3 linked regions of the Mus musculus genome follow. The protein of the gene in region 1 interacts with the protein of each later gene in a pairwise test. Links are inferred from orthologs where the notes say so. Each region holds a gene or a part of one and is shown on either strand. Other genes may lie near its edges. The genes, in order: Pitx1, Mgat5b and Zbtb32.

The links.
Region 2: the proteins of Pitx1 (region 1) and Mgat5b interact in a two-hybrid assay, tested with the Homo sapiens proteins (2 studies listed by BioGRID). The link is inferred for Mus musculus from reciprocal best matches to the Homo sapiens genes PITX1 and MGAT5B.
Region 3: the proteins of Pitx1 (region 1) and Zbtb32 interact in a two-hybrid assay, tested with the Homo sapiens proteins (2 studies listed by BioGRID). The link is inferred for Mus musculus from reciprocal best matches to the Homo sapiens genes PITX1 and ZBTB32.

Annotation. Positions count from the first base shown.
Region 1 is NC_000079.6:55,828,910-55,832,653, reverse strand, and holds the start of Pitx1 (pituitary homeobox 1), read left to right. Parts: upstream 1-1,228; 5' UTR 1,229-1,713; coding exon 1,714-1,882; intron 1,883-3,744. UniProt on the Homo sapiens protein: Sequence-specific transcription factor that binds gene promoters and activates their transcription. May play a role in the development of anterior structures, and in particular, the brain and facies and in specifying the identity or structure of hindlimb.
Region 2 is NC_000077.6:116,946,326-116,949,969, reverse strand, and holds part of Mgat5b (alpha-1,6-mannosylglycoprotein 6-beta-N-acetylglucosaminyltransferase B), read right to left. Parts: intron 3,499-3,644; coding exon 3,328-3,498; intron 2,744-3,327; coding exon 2,579-2,743; intron 1,456-2,578; coding exon 1,286-1,455; intron 1-1,285. UniProt on the Homo sapiens protein: Glycosyltransferase that acts on alpha-linked mannose of N-glycans and O-mannosyl glycans.
Region 3 is NC_000073.6:30,590,778-30,594,521, forward strand, and holds the start of Zbtb32 (zinc finger and BTB domain-containing protein 32), read right to left. Parts: upstream 2,166-3,744; 5' UTR 2,135-2,165; exon of another isoform or gene 1,189-2,134; 5' UTR 1,092-1,188; coding exon 280-1,091; intron 93-279; coding exon 19-92; intron 1-18. UniProt on the Homo sapiens protein: DNA-binding protein that binds to the to a 5'-TGTACAGTGT-3' core sequence. May function as a transcriptional transactivator and transcriptional repressor. Probably exerts its repressor effect by preventing GATA3 from binding to DNA.

The sequences.
Region 1 (3,744 bases):
CTTCTTTCCTAAGCCCTAGTCTACCCCATCAGTGGCTGGTTCAGGGGAGAGGTCTGCAGGTGAGGCCCAGAGACAGCCTAGGGGTCCTCCGTGGCTACAGAGGCAGGTCAGGGCCACCTCAGTTGTGACCTGTTTACTCAAGAAGCTGAAGTCCCTGGGCCAGTTAACAATTGTTGGATAAAATCCTTGGACAAACTTCATTGGAGCGTGAGGAGCTAAGGAGGGGACCACTCTTGTGAGCCTAGAGGGTAAAGTCTTTGCTTGGGGAGGGGGGAGCTCTGGAGCTACAGTTTCCTAGCAGTGTATCGGGAGAAAACCCAAAGGCTTCCTAAGCTCCCAGCCCAGGGTTGTGAGACATCAGTCACCTGGCCTACCAGGCCTCTGCTGAAGCCCTGAGAATTCAGAAAGTAGGCCCCACACTGGAGCAAAGTTACCCTAAAGGAGGGCAGAGGCTGGCAAGGCCTACCTGGTGGCTGCCAAAGACCTGATCATTGTAGGTGCAAAACAAAGGGGGATGTGGAAAGGCCACGGGCCTGGTGGGGCTCTTGGGGTCTCCAGTCCCACTCGCCATGGCCTAGAGCCAACAGAAACGTTTCGTCTGATTAGAAGCCGTCATCTCTACCCCAATTCCGGAAAATTGACTGCGGTGCAGAGAGGAAGGCCATGAGAGCAGCCTTAGGGGAGAGGGTCCAAACTAATTAGAAGACAGCATCCGGGGCCCATTAGAGCTCGCAGGCTGCTGTCACTCAGCCGGCCCCGAGTTCCTGGGAGAAGCGACTGAGGTAGGAGGGGCCCGTCTGCCCCTCGAGGACGACACCACCGCTGGGAGCTGCAGCAACCGGGAACCGGCCCCCCGGCTCTGCCACTGACTGCCCTGGCGCTGGCTCGGAGGCGCCGGCTCAGAGCGATCCTGCTCAGCGAACCTTCACTCATTCTAAGTTGTTCTCTCCCGTGGCTGGGGACTTGAGGTGGCCCAGACAGGAGTTGACTCTCAGCGAAACAAGTCACTTGGGGCCCCCAAGGTGTGCACCAGCCGCCCGGGGCTAGCTGGCCAGATGCGTTTCTTTTGTGCGGCCAAGGGAGAAATTCGTGTGTCACCGGGGAAGGAGGGAGAGGCGCGGTGAGGCCGCGGGAGAGGGGGGGAGGTGAGGCGGCGGGAAGGTGGCTGCGACGGGGAGGGCGCGGGCGAGGCCAGGAGGGAGGGAGGGAGAGAGGGAGGGAGGGAGGACGGCGGGGAGGGCGCGGCGCGGGCGGCTCGAGGCTGGATTCCGCCCGCGCCCGCTCCCTCGCTCGCTTGCTCACTCGCTCGCGCCCTCCCTCCTTCTCTCCCAGCCCCCTCCCACCGAGGCCCACCCCACCCACCACCCCTGGCGCAGGGACTGCTGGAACCTGGCTGCGCGCACTGTCGTTTTCAGACAGACTCTGCGGGCTCCGACCCGAGCCTTAGAAACCGGCCTCGAATCGGGACTGGGGCCCGGGCCGGCCGGGCAGCTGAGGCCGGAGCAGCAGGAGCGCGTGGCGGAGCCCCGAGCCCCGAACCCGGTCCCGCAGCCTGGAGAGGTCGATGGAGCTCGAACGGCGTCGCTGTGGGCGCGGGCAGCCCTGGGGGGCAGCCGCTTAGGCGCCACTCTCTTGTCCCCAACAGGTCGCAGCCTGGGCGGCCGGGAGCTCCCAGCCCCGGCCCCTGGAGCGCCCGTTGCGGTCCCCACCTCCATGGACGCCTTCAAGGGAGGCATGAGCCTGGAGAGGCTACCGGAGGGGCTGCGGCCACCGCCACCACCACCGCACGACATGGGGCCCAGCTTCCACCTGGCCCGCGCCGCCGACCCCCGGGAGCCGCTGGAGAACTCCGCCAGCGAATCGTCCGACGCTGATCTGCCAGGTAAACGCGGCTCCCCCAACCCGCGGCGGGCATCCAGCCTCCGCGCACACCGGGCGGCTTGGCACGCAGCCGGGTCCCCTCTGCGTCTCTGCAGCGAGGAGCTTTCTTTTTCCTCCCTGGTCTTAACCTGACGATGAACACGGAAATTTACACGCGCGTTCGCACGCACACGCGAAGTCACTTCCAAACAGTCCCCCACACGCCAAGCCCTGAGTGGGACTGGCAGCCCCTCTGGAGCAGGAGCAGATAGCACGCGGGAGAAAAAAGTTGAGTTTTCCCTAACTGGTTGCTGAGGAGTCGCTGGGGCTCAGGGCGAGAAGCAGATGTGCAGGGAGTAGAAGGGGTGGCCAGACAAAGTGCCCAAAGAGACACCTTGACAGATGGAGGAAAGAATCCTAAAAGAAGAGGTGGGGTCACAGAGCAGGCTAGAAGAGAGGGGTCCGTAAAGCCGAGCTCGAGCTCTGGGGACAGCGAGAGCCAGCCAGCTAGGAGGCGCGGCCTGACTCCCGGCAGAGCCGGCAGAACCCTGCTGCAGCGGGGATCCTGGCCCACGTGGACACCTCAGCCCAGAGCCACCAGGGGTCCAGCCAGGGTGGGTTCTCGACTCCACAAATCCCCCAGTTGTCTTTTAAAAAACAAAACAAAACAAAACAACCCCGATCTCTTGAGCTGGGCCCGAGATTGGGTGGCTTCGGCCATGTCCGTTTCCAGGCCTGTCCTGTCTTGGAGCGGCTGTGCACGGGAGGGGGGTCCCAACCCCAAATAGTCACAGATCTCCAGGCTGCCTGGGACAGCCATCCCGGGCCCTGGGCATCTCTTCCACGTTTATTTAATCGGTATTTGTTTCTGTTTTGCATCTCTAAGTGACTTTTTTCCAACCTCTGTTTGCTTGGTTAGAAAACAAAGCTCTGAGTGTACTTTTGTTTTTAGAAGTTTTAAGCGTGGTGTTTGCTTAAAAAAAAAAAACCTGTAGAGATTGATTTTCAAATCAAATCTACAGGGATAAATTAACAATTTTAACTGTATGCTTCCTTTGACACAATTCACTAGGAGTATTTCTCTGAAATTTAAAAGAACCTACATGCCACAAGTTACTTGGAGAGATTTTTTAAAAGTCAATTCAAAATGGCGCATTTCTTTGAGATTCCCCCCCCCCCCATCAAAATCCATTCGTAGCAGTTTTATTTTGTGAATTTAAATCATCTCGCTGTAATGTATTTATCTAGGGTTTGGAAAGTATCTCTCCCAGTGTTTGTGTGAGGGAATCTAAAATTTACCTGCAGTGATGCATAGATTCTTTTTCCCAGAGAAATGGCCATCTGACTGGAGTTTATACACATTTGGCTGTGTGTTTAGTTTAGGGGTGTGTTCACAGGAACGGTTTTGACTTCTTGATCTACATTTGCTCCGGTTCTGCCTCCCTGGCTCTGAGGGTTTGTGCACCTTTCTGTTTCTAGGGAGAGAGCTCTGAGCTTTTCTAGGGCTCCGTTTTGGTTTGTAGTTCCTTTGCGTTATGTTTGAATGCTATTGACTACTGTGTGCATCTTGAGTAGCTTTAAAGAGACAGAGAGGCCCGGGTCACTTAGACAGAATATGTCTGTCTAGGCTGCAAATGGAGGGTTTTCTAGACCTCAGAATCCGAGGCCGGTAAGGCTGGGATCCAAGCTAAGTTGCGGCTCTGACACAGCCCTGGCAAGAACAACATTCCAGGCGACTACATGGCTCTTACCCCACAGATATGCTAGCTTCAGCTGGAAAGTTTTGATGCCCGTTCAGGAAAGCTGAGGTGTCCGCTCAGATTTAGACCTTCAAGAGTCTCAGCAGGGCCGCAGCCAGCGAGCTGCAGAAGCAGGCCCTGCCTA
Region 2 (3,644 bases), on another chromosome or scaffold:
GATACTCTACAACGCTGGCTCATTTTAGTGCCCCTCCCAACAACACAGCCCCGCCCCCGCTTCCTCATTCCCCTGAGTCAATGAGACTGGCCCACGAGACAAAATTCAAAGTACAGGTTTCCTGGATGGCTGAGGGCAGGTATAGCTGGGCAGATGTCCTTGGTAATAGTCTCTATCTGAAGTGGATGGCCACAGCACAGTGGGTCATTTTGTTCCCATACCTCATAACTGCATTAGTACATATCTAGAAGCACATCTAAAAGATGTACCCTGGTATATATCCAACGCCACACAAGAAATATAACAAATAAAGTAAGAGAGAGCTTAGCTATGTCTGCATCTAACAGATGAGCGATAAAAACATTACCCCAATTAGACATTAGACAAGACACACACACACACAAACAACACCCACAAACACACAAACAACACCCACACACAAACAGCACACACACAAAACCACACATACACACACACACACACACACACACACACACATACACACACACACACACACACACACACACACTCCTATCTGCCAGTACTCCTCTGTCTGTCTACCTATCTGACTTTGTCTCTCTGTCGCTGTCTGTCTCTGATTCTATCTGTCTGTCTCCCTCTCTCACACACGTACGCGAGCACACACACACACACACACACACACACACTCACTCACTCCAGTTCCTTTGCATTCCACATGTTCTTACTCTCCAGACAACCCCTACCCCCATTCTCACACACAAACAATCTTTTAGACCCTCTTCACCACCACACACAGGGTGGGGGTGTGTCTATGTTCCACAGTTCCAGAAGGACCTGGACAAGCCCAGCACTGGCAGTCAGCATCACTGTCAACCCTAATGCCCTTGTAGAATGCCCAAGGAGTCCAGCTCCTAAAAACACCCCCTGAAGACTATGCCCATCCTACCAGGAAGACCCTCGGGGCAGGGACCTCATGTGGACATGGTGACTCCTCTCTCAAAACATTATGCATTAGCCTATGAGCACAGACCCAAACCCTAGTCTCTTGGCAAAGGCCAAGAGCCTGCAGACTGCTGCTATGCAAACACGCTTCCTCTGTGGATTCTAAATACAAACGTGTGTCTGCATGGAAGAGGAAGCGGGAAGCACATAAGCAAGTGGAGGAGGGAACGGGGAGTACCGGCATCTGACAGAGGGCCACCTCCAGGCTGTGGGCCCCAAAGGCAGAGCATCAGCCCGGTGGCCAGGCTGCCCTTCATCCCCTCCCTACCCCACCAGGATGTGAAGGCTCTCTGGCACTCACCTCTGCAGCTCCTTCAGGGAGACTGTGATCCGCAGGCTATGGCCCAGCACGTAGAGAGCAGCCAGGATGTCTGCCCACTGTACCATCTCTCCCAGAGGCCCGCCCTTCAGTACCCTTGGGCTGAACACGTCCCCAGACTCCTCTGTCAGGAAGCCAATGTGGACAAGGATCTGGGTGAGCAGGACAGAGGGGGCGGGGGGTCAGAGGAGAGCAGCAAGCAGCTCGTAGGTCTGTATACCCCAGCCCAGGATCACCCCACAGCATAGCACACAGGGGCTCCAGGCCAGGCCTGGTTGACTGCCTTTAGACCCTAGATGTTGGAGCCGTAGGTGTTGGTGGGTGTGCGACTGCCTCGTGGAGCTCACCTTGCAGATGAAAGAATGGACAGCAGTACACACAGACAAGACAGAGTTTTATGAATGACAAGGACTCCGACAGAAAGGAGGTGACAAGCATGCGGTTCTCTGTTACGTGAATAAAAGAATGGATGGACATATGGACAAACGGATGGACAGACAGATGGACAGTTGGGCCAACAATCCTTCCTCAGTCTGTTATTCCCGGACCCCTTTAACCTTTCTGCCTGACACGATGAAAATGTCCCAAGGACATAGGACCTCCAGGGGCTGATCATGCTGGCCCAGCCTGAGAAGGGGCCAGGGGCTCAACCCTGTCACCCTCATGTCCTGTGACTGAATCCAGTTAAAAGAAACTAATGTCACTGGTTCAAAGACATGCACCATGCCCAGCCAGAATTCCCTGTCTACCTGTGACCTCCTGAAACCCTGTGCCTGTTGGGAACCACAGGCTCATGGCTACTTAGAACTGTGTCTACTTGGAACTTCATGGCCACGCCCACCTGGTGCCTCATGCCCACCTGGAGATCCATTCCCACCTGGTGTCTCATGCCTACCTGGAAACCCATGCCCATCTGGAGCCCACTCTCCACCTGGAGGCCCACTCCCACCTGGAGGCCCACTCCCACCTGGAGGCCCACTCCCACCTGGAGACCCAATCCCACCTGGAGCCCACTCCCACCTGGAGGTCCACTCCCACCTGGAGACCCAATCCCACCTGGAGACCCACTCCCACCTGGAGGCCCACTTCCACCTGGAGGTCCACTCCCACCTGGAGACCCAATCCTACCTGGAGGCCCACTCCCACCTGGAGGCCCACTCCCACCTGGAGACCTACTCCCACCTGGAGGCCTATTTCCACCTGGAGTTCCACGCCCTCCTAGAGCCCCAGTGCAGTAAGCACATTGTCCAAGCACTCCCTGAAAGGATAACATACTTGCTTCTGGTCCCTCCGAATGTCCCCCAGCTTCTGTGCCAGGTACTTGGCAGCCTTGGTCCACTGTGCGGTGAACCGCCTGGTTCGCTTCTTCATGAAGATGAGGGACTCCTTCCCACTGCCCATCAGCTCCAGGAGGTGGGACAGGTTGCTTCGGAACACAGCCTAAGTTGGGACCACAGGCCAGCTCTCTCAGTCCCTGACCATCCATCCCATCACCGTCCCATCCCCGGCTTCCCATGACAGAAGCTGCCACCTACTGTAAGGTGGGTGCCTGCTTCAGCATCAGGGTGGGAGGCTCTGCTTGCACCTTCCAATACTCACTCTAGCCCTCCTCCCCAGTTAACCACCCACCCCTGAGTCCTCTGGGGACCCAATCAGCCCTGAATCACCAGGGGTGAGCTGCCTTTGAGTGGTGCTAAGGTCAGTGGTGCCTGGAACCTGTTAACTCTCTAAGTCCATGAATCTTCACCCATTACATCTACTCACAGAAGGACAAATACAGTGCCATGCACTCAGAAAGCCCTGGGTACATGACAGCTATTATTGCTGTTATTCTAACCCATTAAGGACTTCTCCGGGGACGTCTCTTGCCTCCCAAGCAAGTTCCCTGTACTGGATTCCACAGAAGATGATCTGGGGATCCTCAGCCTGCAGAGCTGGGAGCCCCATTCCATGGGGTCAGGTGGGGGGGGGGTGGGAGTGAGGCTCCCTCCCACTGTCCCTAAGGATATCCAATCTAGGCCTACCTGGACTCTGGGAAGGGACTTGGGGGCTGTCCGGGCAGCTGTCTGGTTCCTCCAGGGCAACGGGGGACAGAACCACTCAACCTCACTGAGGTAGATGAGGAAGGAGCACTCAGTGCCGTCTACTCCAAAGAAGGCGTAGCAGGGGTCAGAGGTCCAGCGGGCGCGCATCCACTGTGAAAAACATCAGGCCTGGGTAGGCAGCCAGGAACCCACACACCACCGCATGGACTCCCCTAGCCACAGGGTCCCCAAGATCTCGCCGTGAGGCCTGCCCCAACCTAAAGATGCAGCAGAACGCTAGAGACATACAACTGGGA
Region 3 (3,744 bases), on another chromosome or scaffold:
GAATACTGAGGGGCTTACCTGGAGTGGGGCTAGAGGAAGCCAGCTGATTCTGACTCCAGAGAGCTTTGGAGTGGTTCAAGGTCAGTGGGATCCTGGGTGGAGAAGAATTACAGTCTTGGCAAAGCCTGAGAACCTAACTGACTCTGGCCTGTCTTGTGATGACAATATTTGTTGTCTCTAACTCAGGAAATGTACACTGAACCCTTCCAACCATCACTGCTGCCTCTCCGGAGCCACTCCCTCCCTGCCTAGATGTCCTCCTTTAAGCCTCTCACTCACCTCTGATCTTGAGGCCGGACCTGCCAGGCCGCAGTGATGGGGGTACTATGGGAGAAGGGAGCACCGTATCTGGAGGGCCACAACAAGATGCTCCACAAGGCCGACTGGCCCTCCCCCAACCTAGGGACTTCAGCCCACCAGGGCCTGGGAATGAGGCTAGTTAGGAGGGAACCTGGTGGGGAAAGGGGATCAGGGCACCCACGAAGACTCTCCTCAGAGCCCTTGTGGCTCTCGATACCTCGCATGACCTCCTCTGAGCTCATCATCCTAGTTGCTCCTGCCATCTCAGGCCTCTCTCCGGGTGCTTTATGCTTGTGTGACATCTCCTGTTCTCTCCCATTACTTCTAAAATCCTTCTCTGGCTTCTGTTTCTCTCCAGGACTCCCAAGTCCTCTCTCAGAGCCCCTCATGAAGTCTTCTGATTGCTGGTGCCTCTTCAGTCCTGGATCCAGCTCATCTTCATCCTTGCCCTTTTGAGCTCTCTGACAGGCCTCTTCCAAGGCCTGTACCCCCAAGGCTTTGGCTGCCTCTTCAAGGTCCCCCAGCTCCCCAGGCTGTAGCTCTATACTCTCTCCATAGACAAAGGTCAGAATCTGAGCAAAGGTGGAAGGGCTTATGTCTTCAACCAGAGCCCACCGGCCCCTGCAGCCAAGCCTTGGGCTTGCACCTGCCAGCACTAGGCTGTGAGCCGGGAACTCCAGGCCCCCTACTGTGATCAGGGTATCACACAGTGCTGGCCGGAGTCTAGCCGCTAACTGTACCAACCTATCAGAGCCATATGGGCTGATTAGTCTTGTGGGGGTCTGGGGCATTGTTCCTGGCTAATCTACCAGTTTCACAGGCTCTGAGAGGAAAGCCACAATGGGGGATCCATGATTGAAGTGGGAGAGAAACCGCATACTCTCTGGCCTGTGAAGGGGAAGGGAGAAAGAGTGAGTGTCTGGGCTCAGATTGGTGCTGTCTGTCCTGAATGAATCAAATAAACTAAGCCAAAGGCCAGCTGTGGGGATGCCACACTAGGAGAATGCACACTGGGCCAGAGGTTAGGTTTGGGGCCTGAAGAACGACAGCCAGGCAGTTAGCAGAGGTATCAGATAGTGGGTTTAGGGCTGGTATAGTTAGCAAACACCCAGCTTAAGGAAGGTTTGGCTTCCCCAGGCTCTTTTGCAGGGAAAGCCTCTGAACAGCCTGGCCTTTTCCACACTTTGCATCAAACCTGGCATTTATGAATGGAGGAAGATGCGACCTCATGAGAGAGCTCAGACAGCTTTTGGGTCCTCCCCCAACATGAGCCCAGAAAGCCAGAGAAGGCATCAAGACAGCTCACATGGCAGGACAAAAGACTCTTAAGGCGTCACACAATTGTCTCTGCAAGACTGAAGCTTCTAGAATACACCCTCTGAGAAGGGATTGGAAAAGAGCAGAGATCTCCATCCAGTGGGTTAAGGGAGTCACACAAGAGTTTTAGAGAAGGCTTTGATGCCTGAGGAAGTGAAAGAAAGGAAAAAGAGACTGGGGAAAGGGAAGCTACTTCCTCTCACAAGGAGGATAAAGAATGGTTGAGTTCTGTTTTTCATAAGCCAAAAGACTAAGACTCAGAAAGTGCTCAACAAGTCAAGACTTTAATCACACATCAAAACCATCATGACACAGAGAGAGATAGCCTGCGAGTCTTAGCATCCTGCAGGCCTAGCTCGGTGTGGACCCTCCATGAGTAAGCAGCATGGTGGGGGAGGCAGAGAGAGGAATGAGGAACTACTTAGACACCTTGGAGTGAGGGATGCAGGGTGGCAGGAAGTAGAAAGAAGGTTGGAATGGAGGAAAAGCACAGCTGGGGAGAGGGATGGTAACTCACCTCTGTAGCTGCCTCCTAGTACCGCATGCTCACTACTGCTCCTGGGGTTCCTGCCCACCTACCCCCAGTTAGCTCCACCCCGTCCTCAGTCATCCCAAGTATTAGTCTGCCACAGTCCCCTAGAGGGGTGTGGCTTACTGTCTCTGCTTAGGACCTATAAGAGAGGCTACAGATCTACTTTTAACAACCCGGACTGCCTTGCCTCCTCAGTCTAATTCACTTGTGAGTTCTGTAGAGTCAAAGATGTGAACCTGTGGTGACAGGGACTTTGGGATAGTCAAGAGTTGAAGCCTCATCTCTGCCATTTACTAGTTGAGTCACCTTGGGCACGTCATCCCTCCCTCAGTCACCTCATGCATCAAGTGTCATGGTCTCGTCCAGAGGTGGGGGTGAAAATGAAGTGCCATGCATGAGGAAGCAGTCTGTGAGCACAACACAGCATTCAGCTGCTATTAGTTCTACATCCTGGAGGTGGCCATAGCAAGGAGTAGCTGGAAAAGCACTTGTGATACCTCAGAAGTGTAAGCATAGAAACACAGAATGGGAAGCAGCAGGCAGAGGAAAAGCCAAGGCTCCTCCTTTCCCTGGCTTAGTTCATCAGGCCCCCCTTCCTCTATGAGACTGACCCTTGTCCTCTGGACCACAGCAAAGACTAGGTGTGTGTGACTCAGATCCTCCCAGCAGACTCTGAGGGGGGCAACCCCAGGAAGCCTGTGGTGGTCTTCGAAGAGAAAAATCTCCTTTTCTTGGGCTGATGACAAATGACATTTCTCTGAAATCAAAACCAGGGGTTTCTTTCATTTTCTGCTCAAGGGGTCAAGGTCCCTAGAGATTTCCACCTCTTTTGACACCTTTAGCGCCCCCCCCCCATATGTCTTCTTCCTGTGTAGCTCAGGCTGGTCTTGAAATCTCTATCATCCTGTCTCAGCCAGTGCCACCACGCCCAGTTTTGATACTCTTTAAATTGAGGAAGGGATAAAAAGCCTTTGAAACTCAAATTTGTTTGTTTCCTTTTAATTTATTTTACTTATGTTTTGTTTTTTACCATTCTACCAATCTGATCCTAAGCTGCTCTTCTCATTCATGGCAGGTGTCTAATCTGTCATACATATGGAGTAAATACGGAGAGGAGAGACAGGCCAGACATTGGCTGGGCTGCTGTGGTGCCAGAATGAGCTGAGTCCCCTGAGGTTTCTCCCTAGCTTCTGGCCCCTCCTCGAGCCAATAACGAACAGTCAGATCTGTTTTTCCCCCTTGGCTCCAGGACTCCAAGATGTTCAGTCCAGCCTTCTATTACTCTATCCCTCCAGACCTAGGATGCCTTCCCTCCGATTCTAGCTTGGGTGCAGGCAGGTGGCGACCCTCCTAGATCAGACAGGGTGTGTCGGTGGGTGAGGCTGGTGAAGGGTTAGTAGGGTGGAGATAGGGGAAGATGAGTCAGAGCGAAAGGGAAAATGCAAATGGAACCCTGTGTTCATCTGCTCCTCTGAATGTTAAATATTTTCCACTTCTGAGCTTTCTAATTCCTAACATCATGCACTTGGGATCATACTAGATACTGCTATGTAAAAGGCATACTAAATGCCAGCCCTTCTGATAAATGTACAAAC